2 linked regions of the Lepisosteus oculatus genome follow. The protein of the gene in region 2 interacts with the protein of the main gene of each other region in a biochemical or structural test. Links are inferred from orthologs where the notes say so. Each region holds a gene or a part of one and is shown on either strand. Other genes may lie near its edges.

Region 1 (7,781 bases), on a different chromosome or scaffold from region 2:
TGCTATTGAATTGAAAGGCAAGTGTTAGCCCTTTGTTGACTATCTGAAACCGCCATCTGCTGGGCTAACCAGCCAAAGAAATAAAAAAAAATGCTTACTGGTACTTTCCAAACTCTTCCAGAAGTTACATGAACAAAATGTGTTTTGCTAAAATGTATTTAATATAAATGACGTTAAGGTCGCATCACCTTCACACGATGTAGTGTTCAAATTCATTCCTGCTACAAATAATTTTCACATGTACAACAAAAAGGCCGGTGCACCACTACACTCGCGTGTTTATATTGTCTTTAAATAAACACAACAGGTAACCTCAATAGGCACTGTAGGCTTTATAGGTTCATGATTACAAAAAAAGTTTTATCAGAAAAAACAAATTAACATTTTCTCCGTACCAGACGTTTGACACAGCCGACTACAATAAAATTACGTGTTTTTTACAACTTTGTTGGTATCGAACTTGATCTGATGTCAAAAAGGAAACGTTTCATTAAATTGCACCCATTTTTGCAACAGTTGATTCTATTGATACCGATAATAAAGTACAGCGCCTAACCATTGAATATCCTTTGTTTTCAAAACAAATCTTTGGGCAGTAACTACAACTGTATTGTGTCACTTAATAGTGATATACAGTATATATATTTTTAAATGTGTTATAAACAGTATTGCATATGGATCTCCGTAAACAGGATGTTCACCATATGAAGGTACCCGGATCCATAGCGCAAATACCTAAAACCGCAGTGGATAATTTAAAAAAAGAGAATACAACTGCATTTGTGTGAACTTCGCCTAATAATATGTAACAGTGTACAGAGCGTTACCGTGCCACCGCTACCTCAGCTTTCAATGTCTGTTAAAAATATATGCAATTGACAACAATGTCCCCCGAGTGCTACTTCGATTCTGGAAGTTGGTGTTTTGCTGCAGCACATTTCTTTGGAGGGGAGGTCCTACTGAAATCCTTCGATAACCGACGCCGCTTTCCTTCAACAATCTCTCTTTCAATTCAGGAATGCGACCTTTTTGTACTTTCTCTTTTATTTCAACTGCAAAATCTAAGTTATTGAGTGGGCGGCAAATGCAACGGTTTCCCTCGTTAATCGTGGGGTGTCAGCAAGGCAAAATAGCTATGATCTACTACACTGCAGTGCCAGCGTCAAAGAAGCAGAGCTTTTTTACCCCAATGACTGTCAACCACATCAACTTTAAGACACTCTGCCCGTGTCTTGCACCAGCTATAATAACCAATGCTTCTTTATAAACAGATACCACGTCATTCGCGATAACCTGTTTCTAGAGAAACATGATACAGCCCCATACAAAATTTTATTTTTAAAGCAAAATCTGAATGAAAATTAATCTATTTTACGCATCCCATCTCTCCACATCTTGGAACTGCATACAGTATACTGTACAGTACAGTTGCTCTAAAAACGAATCGCTCGCTTCAGCAGCGGGGATGAAGCAACTAACATCATTTCTAGTTATTTAAATGAACTGCAGATCATATGGACTATGGAATCAGGTTGTCTGTATATGAGGAAAAGCCTCTATCGTTTCTAACACAAAGACAGTCATGCTCTGTACTGTATCAACAGAATAACCAAAAGAAAATGCAGAAAAAGAGGACAATAGTGGATGATGAATTCAAAGCTAGGCGCCTCGTCGTATTATCTCCGTCCTCCACGCAAATGTTGTGCATTTAAAAAGCTATCTTGCGGGCTTAATTTTCCAGTCAGCTTGACAAGAGACACCGAATATTAAAAACCGAAAAGTGATGCAGAAGAAAATGCTGCTGCAGCACAGGAAGAATAAAACCTGTCAAACCAGACCCGCATTACAAACACACTGCACAGCGCACACCAGTATCCTACAAATGTCTACATTAAAGTGATTTACCAAGATACGACAGAGCACCTATCAAAAAAAGTTCGAAGCGCTACGATCATCCTGCTTTAGTGATGCAGGGCTTTTCTGTTGGTGCTTAACGCTCAGCCTTGCTTGGCTCGCCAGCACCAGCAGGACTACAGTATAACTTATTCCCCCTTTTCGCTGCATTTACCTGCTGTACAAATATGATTGCAGATATAACACCATCACTATAAACAATGTATAACACAGTGCGGGCACTAGAAAACAAACAGCAACACCACGACTTACCACTTTGGCTTTTGTTTTTCTTAAGACTCTTGCCACAAAGACACTGCAGCATATGCGTTCCTTTGCTGAAAATGTTCCAAAGAAACCACATTGATTTGGGCGAAAAGCAATCCAGCAGCTTAGACACCCTGATAAAGAAGAGATCCTTGCGGTTGCATAATAATACAATGGGATCAGTTCTCCAGGACAGGGCTACCAATTTTACCATAGAAAAAAGATGTTTATATTCCAGTCTTCCGCTGCTTTTGTTCACGTGGCAATATATATATATATTCTTACACTTCTTAAACGAAGGTTATTTTTTTCCGACTATGTGTGAATAATGGTCCCCAAAATGCACACACCAGGAAGTCAGTAATAAAAAATACTCTGTATATTTCATATGTCGCACAAAATGTAAAGAGCAGCCAGTAAACAAACAGAACTAATCGGCAAACAGTAAAAAACGAAGGATTTCCAAAGAGAAAACCATTGCCTATTAGTTCATCACTCTGAGGAAGGGTGGATGTGCTTCAAAAGGCAAAGGCAGGATGTATCCTATAGAAAGACCGCAACGATAGCTCCAACAAAACAACACATAACCAAATCAAGTCAGTTCACTTTATGTTCTCCTTTAAACCTGCTGATTGCCGAGATCAATTCCCGTTAATCTGTCGCTGCATTCTTTAAAAAGGCATTTCTCGATCCGAACCCGGATTTTTTTTCCCCGTGAAAAAATAAACTGCAATATTCTGAGGGTAAGATGTTACCAATTCGCAGCGGGCATGTCTTTCTTTCCCCTAAAAGTATCGTGGTTCCGGAAAATATTTTCAAGTATTTCTGTTCAGCTTGGATCTGTGTTAGAAAATAGATGGGGAGGAGGAGGGGTTGAATTGAAAGATTGGCTTTCCATTACGTAAACACGTGGTTTGAACACCGTCACAAATGAGACGTTTTCAGGATTTCAAGGGAGAAACACAAAAGATTGTTTCACAAATCTGATCAATGAGTGAGAGTGTTCAGCGTGGGGATTTTTTTTTACGTTATAAAAATTAATCACAACCATCATTTTAAAAAGGACGCGATTCAGCTATATTTATGAAGATGGACAACATCCTCCCATAACATCAAAATAATAAAATGTATAATCTTTTCTCGTGGTGACGTACTGTACAGTATACAACTGAGGCATTCAAAGCCAAATCTGCATAAAAACCGGTAAAATTAAGCTGTTATGATAGGGTCTTATGAGCGTAATGTAATTTTGTTATGCTGTAGGCTCGTATTTACAGATCAACAAGTGTATATCAGTTCCGCGTTTAAAGAAGGTAATAAACTAATCAGTGTGATTATAAATGAAAACACATCTGTTTAGGTTAGGGTTGAAAGTTGTATTGAAACTGTTAAATCAGACGGTCACTCTTACACTGTCTTAAAAAAATAACCACATCTTAAAAAAAAAAATACCAGTCGGGGAACCTGGCATGATTCACTAACGTAAACAGGTGTGCGTAGATTAGGAAAGAATTTCCCCTGCAGTTTATATCACAGGACATATTTTGTGAAGATGTTGCCAAAATAGTGCACTTCAGCCTTAAGTTAAAGTTATTATAGGATGGGGATCCGAAACTAGACTGGGCATTTAATCAGCAGACAATGGTTTTGATTTTGATCATTATTTATTTATTCTTAATAATTTTCAATATATCTTAAAATAAATGCGGCGGAAACGTACTGGGAAAAAACAACAATTGACGTCTTTCTGCGTTTTTAGGTACTGTGTTATATCTAGGGTATACACACTAGATTTTGGAGGAAATCTTTAAGTGCTTCTAAATTTTGCACAGAAACAGTACTAACATAGATGTCAAGAGTCTTAGACGTATGCGGCAAAAAACGTCCTTCAATCATAGAAAATTCAGATTTGGTGGTTTGGTGAAAAACAATTATTTTTAAAATAGTGAAAAAGCAAATCATGTACTCACATACTGTATGTGCGTATTTTTTACTGTTTGTGAATTTCAGAAAAATATACAAGGACTTATAACAAAACATTTCCCTTTATTGTGATTTTAATTTGCCAGTTATGTTACTCTTAATATGTGGCTTAAATTAATTTATTTAATCATGCTCTTATTTAATAAGATCCAGAAAATACAGTAGTGAAGTGAAATGACTTGTTTGAGAAGGTTTATTAAATCCATAAATTTCTAGTCAGATGTATCTATAACTAATTTTATGTATGCAGCTAAAGAGAAATGAAATGCATATGCTTATTTTTCCCTGTATCTTGCTAAAAATAAACTAAACTCAAAGAAAAAATCCAAAGCCGAAAGATAAAAATGGCCTAAACTGTGTGTTGGAAGTTACAGAAATTAAACACATGGCATTTCATGCCTAAAAATCAAACATTTTGATCAGTGTTATACAAGGTCCATAACAAATGAATGCTAATGACCAAGTCTTCTAAAAAGCAGAAGAGACCTTAAACAATTTGTCCTGAGACAGCCTGGGAGTTCCATGTTTTTATGACCCATTTAGTTCACTTTTGTGGTATCAGAATCACAACATCTGCAGTTGTTGTTTTTTTTAAACACACACAGATGTGCTGTAGTGGTGACCCAATATGGCTGGAAGGTGATTAATCCAGACATGTCAATAGCAAGGGAAGAGAAGTGCACTTTTCCGTTAGTTGACGAAATCACCTGTCCAGAGTTGAGGCATCAAAACCCATCCAAGAAGCACTTGGATGAAAAAAAAAGTAAATGCTGTGTTGTAGATAATATATTGATGTTGACACAGAAAACATCAGAAAATGTGTTTTCATGTAAAAAAATCTGGGATGTCACCTTTTTACCCTTTTTTGATACACCCACGACAAATTGATGGCTTCTGAAGGGCTGTATGGACAGGTAACGCTAGTGGAAAGAAACAAATTCTAGAGAAAAATGGGTCAAATTCAAGATTTCCAGACAAAAATGCAGTAGATGGGGCTGAAGATGGAGCAGGGGAAACAGAAGTGTGATTCTATGGTGTGAGTCTACAAAAGTCAAAATAAATTCACCCGCTCTTGCTCTCTGATTTAAGGTAATGAGTGCATCTGTGTTTTGCACATCAACCTCCCTTAAGACTGTTGCTTTAGTCACTGTCGCTCATGGCTACTCTGTTGATGTTGATGATGTTCTAGGCCCCATTATCATTTTCCATCACGAGTCAAGAAGGACCTTATTTAATTGCTGCTGTGTAATTACTCCTTCGCCCAGGGGGTTAGAATGAAGTACAGAATCCTTCAATTCCTGGAATATAGGCCATATCCCTCCTTTCAAATTATCTGTGAACATATGGGACAAAAACAACAATGGAACTGACCTTTTTTTCCCTGTATGAAGGGGTGGGGCAGGGTAATGAAATCAAAGAAATCTTGTTAAATCTTGAAATAGAATCATTGACAGTATAACCTCCTTCGCTTTGACATTTTCATCATACCTGCCTGCCAACATCCAAACTCAATTTCCAGTTGTATTTAAAGATATGGCAAATGATGTTTGACAGGACCTAGCCTGTTACGTTACTGGTGCTTATTTTCTGCATCTGCTTGATAACAGAAGATAACCAGCATACAGATATCCGAACAGTAACCTTTACTACAAAGGTATAGTGATAAGTGAGCTCTGCCTGCAATATGGCATAATTATTTTATTATAGAAATATTAATAGATTTGCGCGAGGGGTGTCAGCAAACCAGTCAGCGGGCTATGCATATCAGTCAAGACTAAACTGAGTGAGAAAAGTGAGAAATACAGTACATTGTTTTATGTTACTAAGGCTCCTTCAGTCATTAGAACTTCCAAGAAAAGCTATTTACCAAAACATTGTGGATGTCATCTTAAGAAGTGGCTGCAATTACAAAGACCTGCCTCTAGAGGCCACTAGTAGGAAACTCTTTACACTCCTTGTAAATGGCTACACAGTGGGTGTTAATTAGGTAATTGATAAGATTGGAGCGGAAAAGTTGTTGCTGCAAATTCTAATGTTTGTAATTATGTTTTTATTTTAACTTTAAATTGTATGAATGGTGTTCTTAGTGGCTGGTTTTTTTTTTTTAGATTTATTTTTTGTGTGATCCTGAAAAGGCAATAAAGCCTTATGGATCTCACTAGCCATTATATAGGCTTTGTGCATGCAGACCAATATTACTGCTCTGGTTAACGGTATGATCTATCACAATAGGCTTGGATTTATTAAATCACAACTTTGAACCAATCTAAAATCACAGATCTACACCCTGAAGACAGGCTTCCATATGTTAAAAGCACTAAGCCTCCAGCAAAGTTTCCATCAAATACTAGATCTGTATGTTGGGATTGGTGTTTCATTCAAGTTTTGAGTTAACCTGAGCTTTATCCAAATTTCTTGCTGTGTTACATTATTTGACCTTAGGCCTCCCCCTTTAGGTCAAATCTGCACACAGAATATCAGTGCTTTTGAAGGCTTTTGAAGGTGACAATCAGATGCTAAAAAAAATGAAATTTGGGGAGGCAGAGCAAACAGCACACTGGTACGGAATTATTCTTACAAAAATTATTTTTTACACAAAAAAAGTTTAAATTTCACTCTTTCTATTTATCGGGGACAGTTATTAGTTACAAATGTACAACGAACTACTGACCTAATATCATCTGTGCAACATTTAAAAAGTGAAATCTTGATCTGGCATGTCTGTTATGTTTTTGTAAAATAAATTGAGTGGTAGAGAAACTCACAATCTATCATCTTGCTGTCCTCCTTGCTGCATCAATAAGGTATAAATAAAAATCTATTTAATTACGGTCTTTCAAATATGTTTGACTTGGAGGTGGCACATTTTTGCTCATGTTAGCTGAAAAAGAAGAGAGCAGTCTGTCCATTGGTAATCTCTTAATTGTTTGTCTATGTGCACTTTTATCAAATAGTCTACGTTGAAATTTTCCAACTGTTTTTACAGATACTTGTTGAATTTCCCCTGTTTAGAAAGCTTTTTTTTTTGTTTTCAGTTTGTATATTGTTGGATGTGACATGAAAGATCAATTCATATTTCTAATATATAAAAGAAGACAAATCCAACCTTTCCTCATTCAGGTGAGATCTGCTGAAGAGAAAAATACTGTTTAATGGTGTAAGTAATAATAATGTATATATGTAATTATTTTTAATCCTCAAGTATTGTTTATCATACTTTTTAGTTCAAATGTTTACTTGTTGCTTGTTCTTGCTCTTTCCAGGATGCATTGCCTGCCGTAGGTTTCTGTTTAGGGAATATGGCAGCATATTGATGTGTGCCCTGTTTGTTTTGAAGGTTTGACATTTATCATTCGTTCAGTGGAACGGAACATTTTTAAGGGCATTAAATAGATCATTGTGTCACCTTTAAGAGATACCAATAAAAGATAAATGTAAGTCATGACAGAGCCCAGTAAGAATTCCTTGCCCGCTATTCAGATCATTAATAAATGATATTAACAAACGATATTTATTATTCAATCAGGACTAGATCACACAACTCTTTTCTTCCAAGAAGTTTGATGTACTATTGCTATCAGCCTCTGAAATAAAAAATGCACCCCTGCAGTTATTAGGAGGTAAGTTATATTAAGAAA
Region 2 (7,727 bases):
CTGTTTTCTTCTGTACAGATCGCCCAGTTTATACGCAAGTGGGGGAAACTTTTATTTAATGTGCACCAGGAAAAATAATGTACAATTTTTTTTTAAAGCTCAAAGGGTTGGGAGTCTGGTTTAAGCTACTAAACTAGGGTGACCATATTTTAGTTTTCAAAAAAGGGATGGGGATGGGGGGGGGGGAGAGATAATCGACATTCGAAACATGCCTCCAAAGCAATGAATCTTTATTACTTTTCCCAATCAAAAAATCAATTTAAACTCTCTAGTTTTTTTATTAAACTTCTTAGTAAGCTTTTGAAGAAGTTGCAGGGTTGCTATTTCCCTTCCATAATGGCAAAGATAGCCCTATTTTAAATATATTTTTTTCATTTTAACACAACAAAAGTCTTAACATCTGAGGAAAAAAAGAAGACATCATAACAGGAGAGGTCCTCATTGGTTACAAAAACGATTAATTTTAACAAATCATTTTGAAATATAATTAAAGAAGTTACACATTATTATTTCTCATGGCCATAAAACAGGCGCACACACACAAAAACCCTTTTCATGCTACGCTGCTGACAAGTTCAAAACATCTACCAGTAAAGCATGGAACGAATGAAAATATGTAGCCTATGTTTTTTAACACAGTCTGAGTAACGAGCGAAACAAAATCCCGGACACATTTTTGGAATTTTATAAATCCCAGTCGGACCTATATTTTAGGTCTCAAAAAGAGGACGTCTGGCCACCCTAACAAAGCCATGTTGAAGATCTGAATGCCTCCGTATGGATGAAATTATTAGGTGGTTTCTCATTTGTAACCCGTCTCTTGGTGTGTGTTAATAACACAGAGAAGAGTGAGGGTACGTTTGGGGGCGACAGTGCGATGGCAGTACATTCTGTATACCGGGAGGTTGGAGGTTCGCCATCTAAGGTGGACGGTGAGACAAGTGTGGCAGTTTCGTTTTCACCCCAGAAAGAAGCAGACAAAGGCGGTGAATGCAAACAGGTTTAATTGCCGCGCCGGTCTGGCAGGACGGAGCAGGGAGCTCAGGCTCCCAGCAGGGGCAGGGCTGCGCTCAGCAGCAGGGGAACGGCCAGCAGGGGCAGGGAGAGCCGGCCGCGGGCGGAGGCGCCCCTGGCCTCCACCTCCCGGATCCAGCGGTAGTAGAGGCTGGCGCGGGTGTACACCCCGGGCTTCTTCTCCACCGCGCAGCCCTGGCCGAAGCTGGTGATCCCGAAGAGGTAGAAGCGCTGCAGGGTGCTGTTGAAGCACTGCAGGGGGCCCCCGCTGTCCGCCTGGCGGAACAGACACCCCGCGCCGAGGGAACACAGAAACCAGCCGCAATGTTAACACTTCAGTGTGGTGTGCAGCTGCTGACACAGAGGCTTCTATTAACTGGCAACACTCTCTCATCGCTGGTGGCTTTGTGCTGTGAGGGTGTGCGCACAAACCCACCGCTTCCAAAACCGAAACCTGTGAAGTGCGAGCTCACCTCAGGAAGAAGCTGTTCATGTGAGAGGATAGAGCAGGTCACCCATCGCCAAATTGCTCATCATACGAGTCCTCTGATTTTACACACTACTGGCTTGGGGGAAAAAATCCCCTGTGGCACACGGGTTAGAATCGCTGTCTTGCAGCGCAGGGGACCTGGGTTCAATTCCTGGAGTGCTATCTGCGTGGAGTTTGCATGTTCCCCCCATGTCCGTGTGGGTTTCCTCCCCCAGCACCCGCCACGTTGGGCTAACGTACCTGGCAGGCGTCGATGCCCCCGGTCTCGTGCCCAGCGCACTGCATGTTCTCGGTCAGGCTCTGATTGTACCAGTCCGGCTGGTTGCAGGTCTCTCTGGGGATGAGGTTGACCTCGGCCTCCTGCAGAGTGTCCGCTCTCTCCCCTGCAGAGTGTGAGGAGCAGCAAAGGTCACGTCAGGGATCCCCACAGCCGGCCTTAGTACGAGCCTCCTGGGTTTTCATTCTGGCTGAGGTTTTGATGACTTAATTAGCCTCCTCAGTCGGTGTATCGCGTGCGGCAGGACTGGGAGAGAGACTGACCTCCCCATGACGTGGTCCCCCAGCCGCTGATGAAGCACGGCGTCAGGCCCGCCTCCTCGCTCGCGCCCCTCAGCAGGCACACCGGCTGCACGTAGTCGGTGAAGTTGACAGGGGAGCACAGCTTGAGCAGGGCCACGTCGTTGTCGCCGTTTTTGGTGTTGAACAGGCTGTGGCGGAAGATGTGGGTCACAGTGCGGTTCTGTGTGTTTTCGTCGCTGGTTTTCCACACCTGCAGCCCAGCTATGACCCTCAGCTTCGATGGATCGCTGTGGGAGAGAGAGGGAGCCGAGAGCTTGCAAGAGTTATTCCACCTGGCCAGTCATCTAAGTGTCTGTTTAAACCTGGTGAGGTCGGGCCGCAGTGATACAAGCTTTAGTAGGTTTGTCTTGAAAACGCGGTCCGAGTCGAATTGTGCTAGGATTCACACGACGCTTCAATCCTGTGAATGATTTGATCTTACACACTACTGGTTCGGGGAAAGGGTGTTACTGTGACGGTACTGTGACACCCTTCACATTGGCTAGAATCGCTGCCTCCCAATGCAGGGGACCTGGTTCAATTCCTGGGGTGCTATCTGTAAAGAGTTTGCTTGTTCTCCCCATGCCCATGTGTGTTTCCTCCCAAAGACCCTGAACTTGGCTAAGTCTGGGTGTCTGTGTGTCCCGTGATGGACTGGAGTACTGTGACGTCTTTTTTTAGTCTTTTTCTCTATTCGAGATGTACAGCGCCCTTGGGTTTTTGAAAGACACTTTATAAATAAAAGTTATTATTATTATTATTATTATTATTATTATTATTATTATTATTATTATTATGCAATTAACCCATTGTTGGCCAGGATAGGCCCTGGTTCCCCCATGATCCTGACACTGGACGCATGGTCTTGGTAAAAAGTGTGTTCTTTGAATGGAGCACTCAAGAATTCCTTTGGGATGCATATCAGGCCCTTGCTTCCCTCCAGGTCCTGAGCTGCCCCTCTCTGCTCTCTGTCGGCCACAAGCCCAGGAGGAGTGGAAATTGTGGCTGATCCTACACCCCAGAACCTTTAGAGCCGTTCCAGGTGGGTCCCAGACCTCTAGCACTAATCCCTACGGGCTGTACTCACGTCTTGGGGCCGAAGCAGTGGGCTGACGTGACGACCCACTGCCTGTCAATGATCGATCCCCCGCAGAAGTGAGAGAAGCCGCTGGGCTCGGCGAGCTGGACGCTGACCTGCCACGGCCACGCCCCCGGCGCCGCGTCCTTCCCCCCCACCACGCGGGAGCTCTGCGGGGCCTCCACCAGGGGCCTCAGGCCACACACTTAGAGAGAGCACAAACGGCTGTGAGGTATGTACAGGTATGTGCACAAAGCAGGAATCCCTAATACGTACTGTATATTACTTTACCTATCTCAGGGATTGTATGATATATTAGTATAGCATTTCAATACATATTCATCCATATATTCAATTCCTGGGGTGCTGTCTGTGTGGAGTTTGCATGTTCTATCCATGTTCATGTGGGTTTCCTCTGGGTGCTCCAGTTTCCTCCCACAGTCCAAAGACATGCTGGCAAGTTAACTGGATTCTGGGAAACATTGTCCCTGGTGTTTGTCCTGTGATGGAGTGGCGTGCTGTCCAGGGTTTTGTGTTCAAATTGATTAGGATACAAACATCGGATGTAAACGGTTTTCAAATCTTTTCCTGTATAGTTTGAGTTTGAGTTCATCACTGAAAGAGTGATTTTTTGTTCAGCAGAGCTGTATTAGATAAAAACAAGATAACCCTAACAGAACTTTGGAAGAATAGCACTACGTACATTCAGTAACACTTTACTATGATTCATTCATAAGGAAAGGGGGAGATCTGATGAATATCTGATGAATATACACACTTCACGGGAAACTGTTGAATGACGTCATAGGTAATTACATTAGACAGGGTTTCAAACTCATTTCCTGGAAGCCCTAGTATCTTCTGGGTTGTGTTCCAGCCCAAGCTGTCAATGAAACAATTAACCAAATGAATGTGTTATATACGGAATTTTTTCACGAAGTTTTTTCCGTTGATAGCTCAATACACTTTATCACTGGAAACCCCGGAGATGCCTTTGATTGGCTCTTTGGAGAGTAGATCGCTTTGATTGGCTGAGCAGCAAAAGGCGGGCTTTCACGCCGTGGCCTCGAGCTCTAACACCGGTGTCTTTTCTTAACTCGGGATTCGAAAAACGCGCCGGTTTGATTTACCTCGACGGTGTTCAAAAACAAATACATTTATGAAACGTTTTTAGCACGAAGTTGATCCTTAAGCTCTAAGAGAAAAATCTCTATTTTTTTTTCAAAAAAGAATTAGTGGTAAAATCGGCAATTCATGTGCTTTGAGGTGGGTCAAGTCGCCTCGGAAGGTGGTAGATAACGGTCACCGGGTCCTGAAAAGGGGGTTCGGAAGAAGATCAACTGTCGCGGGGGGGGGAATCTTACTGATATTTTCCTGTGCCCGAGTCCCTGTCGCCAGCAGGCAAACACCAGTGAAGAGAAAGATGAAGAGCCGAGCAGAAGCCATGGTTTTCTGAGCCGACTATCAGGTGAGAGATGCGGTCTCCTCCGATACTGACCCGGGCTCGAAGAACTCAGACTGTTTAACCCCGGGGGTTATGACGCGAGGAGGCGTGTACCCGCGCGACTGGAGGAAAGTTTTGATTTAAAAGCTCTTTTTGGTAAGTAGGGGTCAGCTGAGCTGGGTCAGCTGTCTGTCTGACAGCTCAGTACAGCGCCAAGAGCGGGGCTTCCTCCCAGCTGCGCTTCGCCGTCTCCTTCCCTGTGGGTTTGTGCGCCTGCCGGGTTAGTAATAAAGCACACAGACATGGCAAGGAGCAGCTAGCCTGTAATCCTGACCGGACGTTTTAAGCAGGAGAGAAAGAAAATCGACGTTCCACGAAAAAAGATCAATATAACGTAGGAAAAAACGAATGTGACGTAACCACTCGATGTAAGTCGTACCGCCATCTTGCCTGGAGTGGGGTCAATATAGTAATTATACACTAATAATATAGTGATTTTATTTTTGTGTGCATAAATGAAGTCCCGTCTTTATTACAAAAAAATATTTTTTTGGAAAGATGACACTTCAGGTCAGGTATGATCACAGAAAAAAATACATTCAATTAAAGTTTGCACAAGCAAGTTAATCAGTTTAAAGGCATCATTTATAGCCCTGGTGTTTAAGAGCTGAGCTGGAATTAAAACTGGCAGATTCTTGGGGGTCCCCCAGAACCAGAAACCGTGTGTTAGAACAATGACACTAGTGTTGAGTGCCTTTGGCACCCATTCTTTCAAAGTTTGCAAGTCGCCTAAGCTACGTGTTTAAAAACCAGCCAAATGTGGCATTGCAAGGTGTTTATAGGACCTTATTCTAAAGCCTCTTTGCTCTAGATTTCTGAAATAATTCTCAGAATAATCCCCAGATCAACAGCCTCCTACTAACCCTGTGATATTGCTCACCAATCCCTTCACAACTAGTTCTAATTTAATCATCATCATCATCATTTATCTATTTATCTGCAACAGGTGCAACACAGGGTAAACCCTGGAAAGGACGCCATTCCATTACAGGGCACATAGACACAAGCACACACACTCACACCAGGGTCAGTTTTCGCAGAAGCCAAGTAACCTGCATGTCTTTGGACTGTGAGAGGAAACTGGAGCACCCAGAGGAAATCCACATGAACAAGGGGAGAAGATACAAACTCCACACAGACCACTGAGTGTTGCATTTCTGTATGATATCAAAATAAATTATATTATGAAGCAACAGTGAAGCGGCAGCAGTGAGGAGGGGTGGTTAGGCAGCAGTGTGGAGAGATGGTGAGGCAGCAGTGAGGAGGGGTGGTGAGGCAGCAGTGTGGAGGGGTGGTGAGGCAGTGTGGAGGGATGGTGAGGCAGCAGTGTGGAGGGGTGATGAGGCAGCAGTGTGGGGGGGTGGTGAGGCAGCAGTGTGGAGAGATGGTGAGGCAGCAGTGTGGAGGGATGGTGAGGCGGCAGTGTGGAGAGATGGTGAGGCAGCAGTGTGGAGAGATGGTGAGGCGGCAGTGTGGAGGGGTGGTGAGGCAGCAATGAGGAGGGGTGGTGAGGCGGCAGTGTGGAGGGGTGGTGAGGCAGTGTGGAGGGATGGTGAGACAGCAGTGTGGAGGGGTGGTGAGGCAGTGTGGAGGGGTGGTGAGACAGCAGTGTGGAGGGGTGGTGAGGCGGCAGTGTGGAGGGGTGGTGAGGCGGCAGTGTGGAGGGGTGGTGAGGCAGCAATGAGGAGGGGTGGTGAGGCGGCAGTGTGGAGGGGTGGTGAGGCAGTGTGGAGGGATGGTGAGACAGCAGTGTGGAGGGGTGGTGAGGCAGTGTGGAGGGGTGGTGAGACAGCAGTGTGGAGGGGTGGTGAGGCGGCAGTGTGGAGGGGTGGTGAGGCGGCAGTGTGGAGGGGTGGTGAGGCAGCAATGAGGAGGGGTGGTGAGGCGGCAGTGTGGAGGGGTGGTGAGGCAACAGTGTGGAGGGGTGGTGAGGCAGTGAGGAGGGTGGTGAGGCAACAGTGTGGAGGGGTCGTGAGGCAGTGTGGAAAAATTTATATCAAAATCAACTTTAAAAAAAATCAATTTAAAACTAAAGTCATGCAGTTTTTCCCCCTTTCCCTATGTCAGTGATGTCTGAAGATGGACTTTGCTGTCTATGGGTCCTATAATGCTGTCTGTTGCTCAAAGTAGCAGGATTTGCTGTGGCAGGTTAAGACCAATGCCTTGAACTGAGACAAAGCCTTTCAGTACTGTGGCTTCTTGGGCCCTGGGAGGTTCGGTTCTGATGTTGTCTGGAATTTGAACTTAGGACTCACACCTCCTTACCTCCTTACAGAGCCACCCTCCCCCAGTATTAATTTTTCTTGCTTTCTCTTTTCATTCATTCATAATTCATTTGCTAAGAGGTTTGCAAAGTAGCCTATGCGGGCTGAATGGGAGAGGATGTGCCTCCTCTGCAGAAAGGACAGCGTTTCGCTGGGAATTTAAATGCTGCTAAGCAGCAGTGACCCTTACCCTTTCCTTACCCAAGGTCTGCAGGCTTTTAGAGAAGCACTGATCTAAATATTGGACTCCTTTGTCTTAGATGAGTTAATTCAGTACAAAATCTTAACTACTATTTGTGCAGTTCAGTACATTTTATTATTCACAAGTGAATTAATAACTATATTTCAGCAAATGTTTAATTTTGAAACAATAGTTAAATAAACAGTATTTATTACATATAACAAAGGAATGGAGAAACGTTATTTGCAGATAATAATCAGGTAATAATTCTGCATGCCCACAGTTGTATTCAAGAGTTACAGTTTGCAGATGGCCCAGGCTTCTCAAAGCAGACGGGATACACACTGGTCCACTGCAGTGCCAGTTAAGCTAAACGGCATACGTTCAGATGGTGGTAGGAAACCGGAGCACCCAGACAGAACCCCCATGGCCATAGGGAAAACATGCACATGTAATGTGTGACAGATGCTGTGTACCAAACACAAGAGCACAGCACTGAGGCAGCAGTGCTAACTGCCACATCACACTGCTGCACACAGCTGTACTGTTATTCATTTAAATTGGGCTCAACTCATTGGATTCCTTCTCTAATTCATCTTTCACTTTCAAAGCCTCTATGTTTTTAATGCTGTGTATTC

The links. The genes of interacting proteins can lie anywhere in the genome.
Region 1: the proteins of sodium channel protein type 8 subunit alpha (region 2) and fgf14 form a complex in vitro, tested with the Homo sapiens proteins (2 studies listed by BioGRID). The link is inferred for Lepisosteus oculatus from reciprocal best matches to the Homo sapiens genes SCN8A and FGF14.

What each region holds. Positions count from the first base shown.
Region 1 is NC_090710.1:5,033,146-5,040,926, reverse strand, and holds the start of fgf14 (fibroblast growth factor 14), read right to left. Parts: upstream 3,022-7,781; 5' UTR 2,375-3,021; coding exon 2,167-2,374; intron 1-2,166. UniProt on the Homo sapiens protein: Probably involved in nervous system development and function.
Region 2 is NC_090696.1:20,135,029-20,142,755, reverse strand, and holds the start of sodium channel protein type 8 subunit alpha, read left to right. Parts: upstream 1-4,709; 5' UTR 4,710-5,012; intron 5,013-7,349; exon of another isoform or gene 7,350-7,727. Other genes in the region: transmembrane protease serine 12-like, read right to left, coding at 1,042-1,290, 1,745-1,887, 2,045-2,310, 3,150-3,345, 4,505-4,586. UniProt on the Homo sapiens protein: Pore-forming subunit of a voltage-gated sodium channel complex assuming opened or closed conformations in response to the voltage difference across membranes and through which sodium ions selectively pass along their electrochemical gradient.